2 linked regions of the Ovis aries genome follow. The protein of the gene in region 1 interacts with the protein of each later gene in a biochemical or structural test. Links are inferred from orthologs where the notes say so. Each region holds a gene or a part of one and is shown in the gene's direction. Other genes may lie near its edges.

Region 1 (4,444 bases):
GTAGGTAAATTACCTGACAAGCTATTGTTTTCACATATTGGCAACAATAAACTGTTTAAAAGCTTTGTTAAATATGTTCATGCTTTACTCATTTCTATATTCAGGAGTCTCAATTTACCAAGAGTTTTATTTCAGTTTTTTTTTAATGGAGCTGTCAGTGTATTAACAGTGTAACTTGGGTCTCGAGATAGCTTAAGGAACAATTCTTAAAAATTTTAGTTCTGTTCTGTTCTACGTACATTTATATTGGTACCACACACACACACACTAACACCATTTATAGCCGTCTTGAATAGGAAGTATTCTTTTTGAATGTTTTCCTCAAGAATAAAAGGGAAGGGAAGACTCAAAGAGATGTCAAACAAATCTCAGAATTCAACGTCAATCTGCAGGTACAGGAAGTTTCTGAGCTTTTAAAATCCACTCGCTTGAGGGAGTAATTAGCCAGCACTTAGGGCGGGGTATACAGCCTCGCGATTCCAGTGCTTTCTGGGGAGAGAAAAAAAAACGCTGGGTGGCGAGCACTGAACACAGTCTCCCCCGCCGAGCTCTACAGCCACGTGGCGCTCGCCGGAGCCCCAGGCCCACCGCCCTATCGGGCTGTCGGCGGGGCCTTCGGCCCCGGAAAGCCTGGAACCTCCGGGCCGCAGCCAGCAGACCCAGAGATCTGGCCCCGAACCCGAGCAGGGCAGAGCGCCCAGGTGACGCGCGGTGCCAGCTTCCACCCTAGGGGCGTCCAGCAGATCCCCGGAACTTTTCCTCGGAGACAGGTTCCGGCAACAGGTCCGAGGCGGGGTCGGTGAATCAGCGCGGCTCGGTGCCCGGGTCAGCCCTGCAATCCAATGCCAGTTTGGGGTAGGAATAGCCCGGCGTCTAACCACTAGCCATTCAGGGATCGCTAGCCAGGGGAAAGATGACGTCATCGTAGCTGGGCGGTGTCGGAAGGTCCCACCAATGGGAGACAGGCAAAGTGGCTTGCTTTCTGTATCTCTTGGCCAATACTAACAAAGCAAAAGGGGGCCCGGTTGTTGGTATAGAACCAATGGAAAACAGAGAAGGAGCATGAGGCGGAGTTGAGAATCCTGTCACCAATTGGAAAGAGGAGGTGGAGCCCGGGCCTTGTCAAGCGTGACCAACCAGGGAGAGGAGCGGACTCTGAGGGGCGGGGCCGTAGTGCCTTCCCCCAATCGGACAGGTCCGGGGGCGGGGAATTCTTTGGGGCGCCCAATGAGGAACGCAGCCGAAGTGGGCCTGTCAAGAGAAAGGCCTGGGGGCGGGGGGACGGTGAGTCGGGGATAAACACTCCGCGGCGGTGGCGGCTGCTGCTCTTCTGTAGGTTCTGTCACGGTGTCGGTGGTGCCCAGCTCGCCGGTCCCCTCCCCCTTCCAGCGAGCGTGGTCGCCAGAGAGGCTCTCTCAGCCCTGCTCTGCGGGGTCCATAGCGGGGCGCGGGTGTCCGGCGGCGGCGGCGGCGAGCCCGTGTCCAGTGGGGGTTGGTCCCGTGGCTCCGGCCCCCGGTGCAGAATGGCGGCGGCGGTTCGGATGAACATCCAGATGCTGCTGGAGGCGGCCGACTACCTGGAGCGACGGGAGAGAGGTGCACGGGGACGGGAGGGGGCCGGCCCGAGCTAGTCCCGGGAGCTCTGAGGGGCCTGGCAGCGGATCCCGGCGCCCAGCCTCTCCGGGGGTGGTTGGAGGAGCTGAGAGCGCGACCCGCGAGCGCTCCCAACCCCTCCAGCTTTCCCCACGCGCGGTCCGAAGGGAGGCCGTCGCTGCCCCCAAAGTCAATGAATGGGAGTGGAAAGGGACCACTGCCCCCGGGATCCTGAGTGCTTCCCCCTCCGCACCCCGTCGCGAATGGGGTGCCCGGGGCCCCCTCAGCCAAGCGCTTGGTTTACCTCACCCGGCTCTTCCCGGCCCGCCCCCAAGTGGGCCTGGCGCCGGGTCTCCCAGTCGGCGGAGCAGCGCCTCCCTTGCCCCGCATCCTCCGACCTCGGCTCTGGCTCCCGGTGTCTGGCCCCGCACCTTCGTCTGAGGCCGGTCCCACTTAATATACACCAACCTGCTGGACGTTGCCAATGGGAAACCCAGGCTCCTTGAGACTTGCTGTGTCTTTCTCAACAATGAGCAGCTGGAATGCTCCTTACACCTGCTCCGAACTGAGGGTATTCACTCAATTGAGAAAACAATCATTGTTCTAAGAATTCCACCTTGCTCCTTTTAATTATTTCCACAGTCTTCTTTTAATAAAAAATAAATCCATTTTTAAAAGGAAATACTGTGAAGGGGAGAGAGTGTTGACTGTTCTGTGTTCATTCATTAACTGGATCCTCCGGTTTTCTAGAAGCTGAACATGGTTATGCCTCCATGTTACCATACAATAACAAGGACAGAGATGCCTTAAAACGGAGGAGCAAATCCAAGAAGAATAACAGCAGTAGCAGGTAATTTGGTAAATATTTTCCTTTCTCTTTTAGGTTATGCCGCAGATGATACTGGGTTTTAACCCCGTAAATGAAGCGGCAATCGTGATTCAGTAATGTATACATAGTCCTAAGGCTTTGGAAGAAACCCTTCTATTTGGGTTGAGGGGACTGAGAAGAGAAGAGAAATGGAAGTGTTTTCTATTTCTTTATGAACTTTTTTCCCCAGAACTTAATTTTGCTTTTCTTCCCTTTTGAAACAAAAAATCTGTGGAAACTTCAAGTGAGATTAGCAGCAGTGACAATATTTTGCCTTCAGAAGTTGCAGATTCAGGGCAAGTTTTCTATAGCTGAAAATACTGGACATTACCCACGTTTTGCTTATCATAGTGAAGATTTTATAAATATGTTAAAGTCTTGATTTGGCATAGATGGTAGGCTTTCATATTTGACATGTAAATTAAATACAGTGATATGTCTGATAATCTGTCACTATAATGGCAGCGAGGAACGATTGAGGTTCAAACCTGCTTTTTGGTGATGGAGGAATAGATTGATATTAAAATATTCACATGCCACAAGCTTTTTACGTTAATCTTGTAATTCTTAAAGTTTTGTAAGTCTCACTGGAAAGTATTTGGTTAATGATCAATGAAATCACATAATAAAACCCTGAATGTACTTCCTGGTATAAATGAGTACTCCATTAATGCTGTTGCACCCCCTTTTTCCCCTGTTTGCCCTTAATATATACATTAGCTAGGAAATCTTTTTATTAGACTCATTCAATTATACCTTTTATTCCAGTGATTGAAAATCATTGACATTTTCCTTACTGATTTAGAATCCTTGTCTATCTCCCATTCTCATGAATACTCTGCAAATAACTATTTGGTTAGTGTCTGTGACATTATACAGACTACTAAAAGCCAGAAGTTTCCCACTTAAACCTTCAACTCCCTTGTTCTTCCTTCCTCTTCTATCCTTGGTTCACCCCATTGTCCTTAGCATTGGAAGAACCACAGGATATGAGTGAGCAGCACATATGTGCCGAGCTCTTGAATGGGAAGGCACAGGAAGGATGAACCTGTTAATTAGTTACCTGGTGGTTTTTCCTTTCCCTCCCACCTTTGGCATTATCCAAAGAAGGTTAATGCTGACTTGTAGTGTGCAGTGTTATAAAACAATATCTACGTTGCTTTTTGTTACAGTATTTTTTAAATAACTTTTTGAAAAGACATTGAAGCCTTTTGCTTTATTTTTATGGAAAAGTGTAGTTTATTTTTCACTTTTACTCTTGTCCACTCATGATTTGAGAGGAATTGTTCACATTAATAGTCAAGGCTTAATCCTTAGTACTTTGTTTTCTCCTAAGTTTCACAGAAAAGTTGTTGAGGGGATGTTCAGTGGTGAGAATAAGAAGGGGATGTTGTCGAAGAGAAGTAGCTTGGCCCCAAAAGGTGATTGCCATGCTCTGCCATGCTAAGTCACTTCAGTCGTGTCTGACTCTATGCGACCCTATGGACTGTAGCCGGCCAGGCTCCTCAGTCCATGGGATTCTTCAGGCAAGAATACTGGAGTAGATTGCCATTCCCTTCTCCAAAAGGTGATTAGGAAAGAAAAATAATGATAGTTGAGAATTTCAATTCAAGAAATAGATTCTTTCTCTTTTCTTTAATATCCAGCTTTATTCCTGGGAAAATGATTGTAACTCTGGGGGAAAGCTCTATTATTTCTGTAAATGGATTTTGTTTGCTTTCCATGGTTAGAAGCGGGAGACTCTCACAGTTTTCCATATTCTTGACTAATGATGAATTCGTGCAGTAATTTAAGTGGTGCAGGGATCTCTGAGAGACCATGGTTAAACCTGGAGATTGCACCAAGCAAAACAGATGAAGCAACACCAGGTTGTTTTCTTTAAATGTAATCACTTCCTTCATGACCTGTTTGGAATGACCCTTACCTGAGCAATGAGACATCTCCCCAGAGAATGCAGTTTGACCCCTTGATTTGAATCAGACT
Region 2 (4,505 bases), on another chromosome or scaffold:
TTTCCGTATTCAAAAGTCAGGAATAAAATGGTTCTCATTATAGATTCAGTAACTGATAGGGAAAACTCAAGATTTCATTCATTTCAGACACCAGACATAAGAGTAGCTTGGTAACTGTCTTAGGCTTGAAAGTGTCTTGCTCTTCTTCTATTTTTTCCTTCTGTGGGACTTAATATACACTTTTTTTTTACAGTCCTCTAGATACGCTTTTATTTCCAAGGCAGTAATGTAACCATCCTATTTTAATTTCCAGTTGTCTCCACTGATGACATTAGACCATAAAGAATTTTTACTTAATCTTTCTTTCCACACTGCAGTAGAAATAATCCTAACATACAATGAAGACAGCTTTATTACGAAATCTATTTCCAAACTGCTTTCGACAATTTAAACATTCTAAGGTTTTTAAATTAAGGATTTATTGTAAAGGTACACTGTTAAAATTACAGCAGGGCAGTCTCACTTTTGCTTCCACAACTGTGAGCGTCATAAAGACAGGGTCCGTTCCAGTGTTACACATTATGTCAGTTCCATGCTGGCACATGTTGGATGTCCAATAAATATTAGTGAAATAGATACGATCACACCTCATGCCACAATATTTAAATAAGAGTTTAACTAGATAGGGAGCTGCATCAGTTTCCCATTTCGGTATTTTTTGCAGTTCTTAATTATAGTACTCTGAACTGGGGCACTCCTTAAACTTCTTACTCTACAACAAATTTAGAAGGCGCTTTTATTGCCATGTAAAGAGCCTGAAAGGATGACCCTTAAGTAAGGAGCAAGATGGTCAGTCCCGGATGAATGGACACTAGATTCTCGTGACTGGGAGAGGTTTCTCAGCGAGGCCGGTGGTCGGTCATTTTGCCAGGTCTGTGACATCATTCAACACCTGCCATTGACACCTCCCCAATGCCAGATCCCCAGGGTCTGCGTGGGCAATCGGAGCCGCGCCCCCTAATTCGCTGCTGTAGCATCCCCCAGCAGGAGGGTCACGCCCCAGGGCGCAACGCAGAGCGACTCAGTCATCCAAAGACAGAGTAAAACCAGTCGCACCAAGGAGAGGCAGCGTTATTTAGGCAGCTGGCTACTCCTCCAGAGCCTCCACCCTGTCCCCTGGGCCCGGCGCCCGGCGCTCAGCCTGTGCCCGGCTCCAGGAGCCCCAGCTCCCTCCACGTGTCCTGTCTTCCCAGCAGCCACCTCTGCCGCCTCGGGAGGAAAATCTCCTGACAACTCGCGGTCTACGGACTACGACTCCCAGCAAGCACCGCGCAGCTTCTCTCTCCGCCCCCTCCACGGGGCACGCAGGCGCTCTGGGCTCCGTCAACAAGCCGGGCTGGCGAAGACTGGATGCAGTTCCTTATGGGATTTGTAGTTTTTGTTTACTTAGTTGGGCCGTAAGTCAAAGGGACAAGAACTACAAGTCTCGGCGGCCCCAGCGTGACGAGCCCTGTCACGTGGCAGGGGGCCGACCGGGCGTGCGTGCCGCCGTTGATCCGGTGCTGCAGTGAGGAGGTGGTTCTCGCCCGTGTTGTGTGTGTGTGTGTGTGTGCGTGTGTGTGTGTGTGTGTGAGTGAGAGAGCGAGTGAGTGAGTGAGTGAGTGAGTGTGTGTGGGGGGGGACTCGGCTTGTTGTTGTCGGTGACTTCCCCCTCCCCTCCACCCCTCCCCCTTCCCCGCCGCCGCTGCAGTGGCCGCTCCCTGGGCCGTAGGAAATGAGCGATAACGATGACATCGAGGTGGAGAGCGACGTGAGTCCTGGGGCTTCTTCCTTCCCTTGCGGGTTGTCAGGCTGGGACAGCGGCCGGGGTTCTCAGCAGGGCGACGGCGGCAGGGGGCCGGGCAGCCGCCGCCTCCTTCCCCTTCCCCCGCTGGGCCGGGACCCGTCGCGCTCCCGGCTCGCTCGCTCCGGGCTCTTGGCCGGAGCGGCCTTCTGGGACTGGAGGTGGGGAGGAGACACGCGGCCTCTGGGACCCCAACCTCCCCCGGTGGAGGAAGGTGCTGCGGCCTCCCGTTCCCATCCTATCCCGTTCAGGATCCGGGGGACGGGGACGGGGTGCGCCGGGGATCCCATTGTCCGGATCATGGGGAAGGGGGACTGCGCTTAGGACCATGCCCCGTCCGCGCGCGACCCCGTGCTCCCGTGACCTGCGGATCCTGGGGAATGAAGGAGGGCGGAGAGGGATTGGGAGTGCCCACATGCCATGAGCTGGGTGCGAGGAGAGGAGACAGTGCTCTGGATCCCCTTCTGTCCCGGGTCGGATCCCGGAAGGTGGGGCGGCGCTCGAGACCCCTCTGCCCCGCTACCCGATCCCGCTAGGGGGGATGGGGGCGTAGGATGGGGAAGGGGGGTAGGGCTGACTCCCCACCCGCCGCTTCCTCTGACGCCGGCATTTTCTTTCTTATTATTGAATGTGAAGTGTAAAAATAACTTCTATATTTTCTATTTTTTTTTTCTCTCTTATTCCAGGAAGAGCAACCGAGGTTTCAATCTGCGGTACGTCTCCTACTCTCCATTTCATTTTCATTTCCGTTCAATTCTAGTCCTTTTTGGGGTCGGAGAGAAAAAGAGATTGTTCTGTTACTTGTAATGTTGTAGTAAACTCACCTGTTAACCGCTAAGGTGAGGTGGGGCCTTGCTCTGGGGTTCTAGGTGGTGGTGGGGGCGGAGGGTGGTTTGCGAATCTCATAATTCTGGAGTCTCAGGTGATAAGTTTCCGTGAATGTAGGTGAGTGAGAGAAGTTGTATGCAAGGAAATGAATCCTTCCGTAGTTTTCAGATGGGGGTTCTAGTTGTCACTATATAAGTGGGAAATGAGAAGTGCATCATGCTGAAGTAAGCTGTAGTGTTACTTCAGGGAAAAGTGGTCAGTTTTACTTAGGAAGAAGTAGGTTCTAAACCATGGTTGTGTGAAGCTGAAGCCACATGCAGTAATCACCTTTAACCAAAAGTCATGTGACTGCTGTAGACCTATAGAATCTCTCACAACCTGGTGTTATTCTAATGCAGACATTGGGAATGTAGAGGAGCCAAAGGTTGACTCTGAACGTGTCACATTCAGCAGCTTATTGTGATCTGACTATATTTTAGTTGAAGGAGCAGTATAAAGGCAATAAAATAATTGTTGAAGAAAAGTGGCATTGCAGAGAGAGGTTTGCTAAGAGGTGATGGTTGAGACTATACAGTGTTGTTAGTAATTTCTCAAAGTTTTGTTATAAATCTTCTCAGTAGATGATTCTGTGGATTTAAGATAGACACTAATCTCATGTCCTTGAGACAGTACTATGGGTGTTCCATGAATAGAAGGTAAAAAGAATAGATACAAGATAAATCATAATCAGGGAGGAAGAGAAATAAGTAAATCATGCTGTCTAACAGTTGATAGATGGGAGCAGTAGGGAGTGGATAGAATGGAGCCCCAAAATTGAGATGCTTCCAGAGGATCCAGGCAGTGAATAGTCAGGAATGAAGTGGAGAGCAGAGGTGGGAACCGCAGTACTTAAGAACACATGCGTCTTCTGAAAAGGCAGCCACTGTAGTCCAGTGGGTTGTTACGTGAGAATCAGGCGAAGTGTTGTCTTATCTTCCTATTTTGGAAGATTAAAAATCCAGACTTTTATGTTATTTTTCTGATTTTTAAAATGATGTTTGAGACAATCAAGTTGTTTAGGGGCTTGTTAGAATTTCAAGGATGCCACTTAGAGACCTCTGGTCTAAGAATTTATCACAGAGTGAAAGCAAGCCCTCTTGTACCTGCTCAATTCTGAGGTTGTCAAAGCAGTTAGGTATTGAGAAAAAGTGTACTTGTTGAGAGCTGATATTTCTGTAAAAATCCAACAATGCAGTTGTTCCAAATAGTAAAAAAGAATTTATTTTTCCTTGGAGTATTTGAAGACAATACTTTGAATATTTGCAGTATTGTTAGATACTTAATATCTCTTACATACATTTGAAAATTAAATTCCTTTTATTCAGTTACTATTATCCTTAATAATATAAACATGGAATTTCATGTTTGAAATCTGGTCTGTTTTCCTTCAAGTCTCCAGTTATAAAATCTGCCCTAGGGCTTGATCAGAATTGAAGAATAGGGGTTGTTTAGGCTTCCTTTGAAGAATTATTATTTAAATTGAAATTATATCGGCTTTCCACTGTGAGAAAATTTTTATTTATGGAATTTTGGCGTATAGTTCCTGAGAGCTTTCTGCTTTTCAAAATATCCATGCACGTGGTTGTTGATGTAAATTGTTTTATTAAATTATTAAAATGTTTCCACTCTCCTAGGGTGCTGATCTCATTGTTTTGTCTAGATATTTTAAGTTTGATGTTAAGGTACTTAGGATTTTCCTTTTGATTTTGGAGGGTGGGCAGAGGGAGTGGGTTTGACCCTTTGTTTTTAATTTGACACATCTACTTGCTGAGATGTTTAAATGTTATCTGTTGTAAGATAATCACACTGGTGTAGAGAGGAGAAGCAGTAGGCAAATTTTATAGCATATCAAGCA

Evidence for each region.
Region 2: the proteins of MXD1 (region 1) and MAX form a complex in vitro, tested with the Homo sapiens proteins (4 studies listed by BioGRID, with this or other methods). The link is inferred for Ovis aries from reciprocal best matches to the Homo sapiens genes MXD1 and MAX.

The regions. Positions count from the first base shown.
Region 1 is NC_056056.1:38,459,873-38,464,316, reverse strand, and holds the start of MXD1 (max dimerization protein 1), read left to right. Parts: upstream 1-1,286; 5' UTR 1,287-1,523; coding exon 1,524-1,596; exon of another isoform or gene 1,597-2,164; intron 2,165-2,343; coding exon 2,344-2,443; intron 2,444-4,444. UniProt on the Homo sapiens protein: Component of a transcriptional repressor complex together with MAX. In complex with MAX binds to the core DNA sequence 5'-CAC[GA]TG-3'. Antagonizes MYC transcriptional activity by competing with MYC for MAX binding.
Region 2 is NC_056060.1:75,293,661-75,298,165, reverse strand, and holds the start of MAX (protein max), read left to right. Parts: upstream 1-1,484; 5' UTR 1,485-1,714; coding exon 1,715-1,750; intron 1,751-2,469; coding exon 2,470-2,496; intron 2,497-4,505. UniProt on the Homo sapiens protein: Transcription regulator. Forms a sequence-specific DNA-binding protein complex with MYC or MAD which recognizes the core sequence 5'-CAC[GA]TG-3'. The MYC:MAX complex is a transcriptional activator, whereas the MAD:MAX complex is a repressor.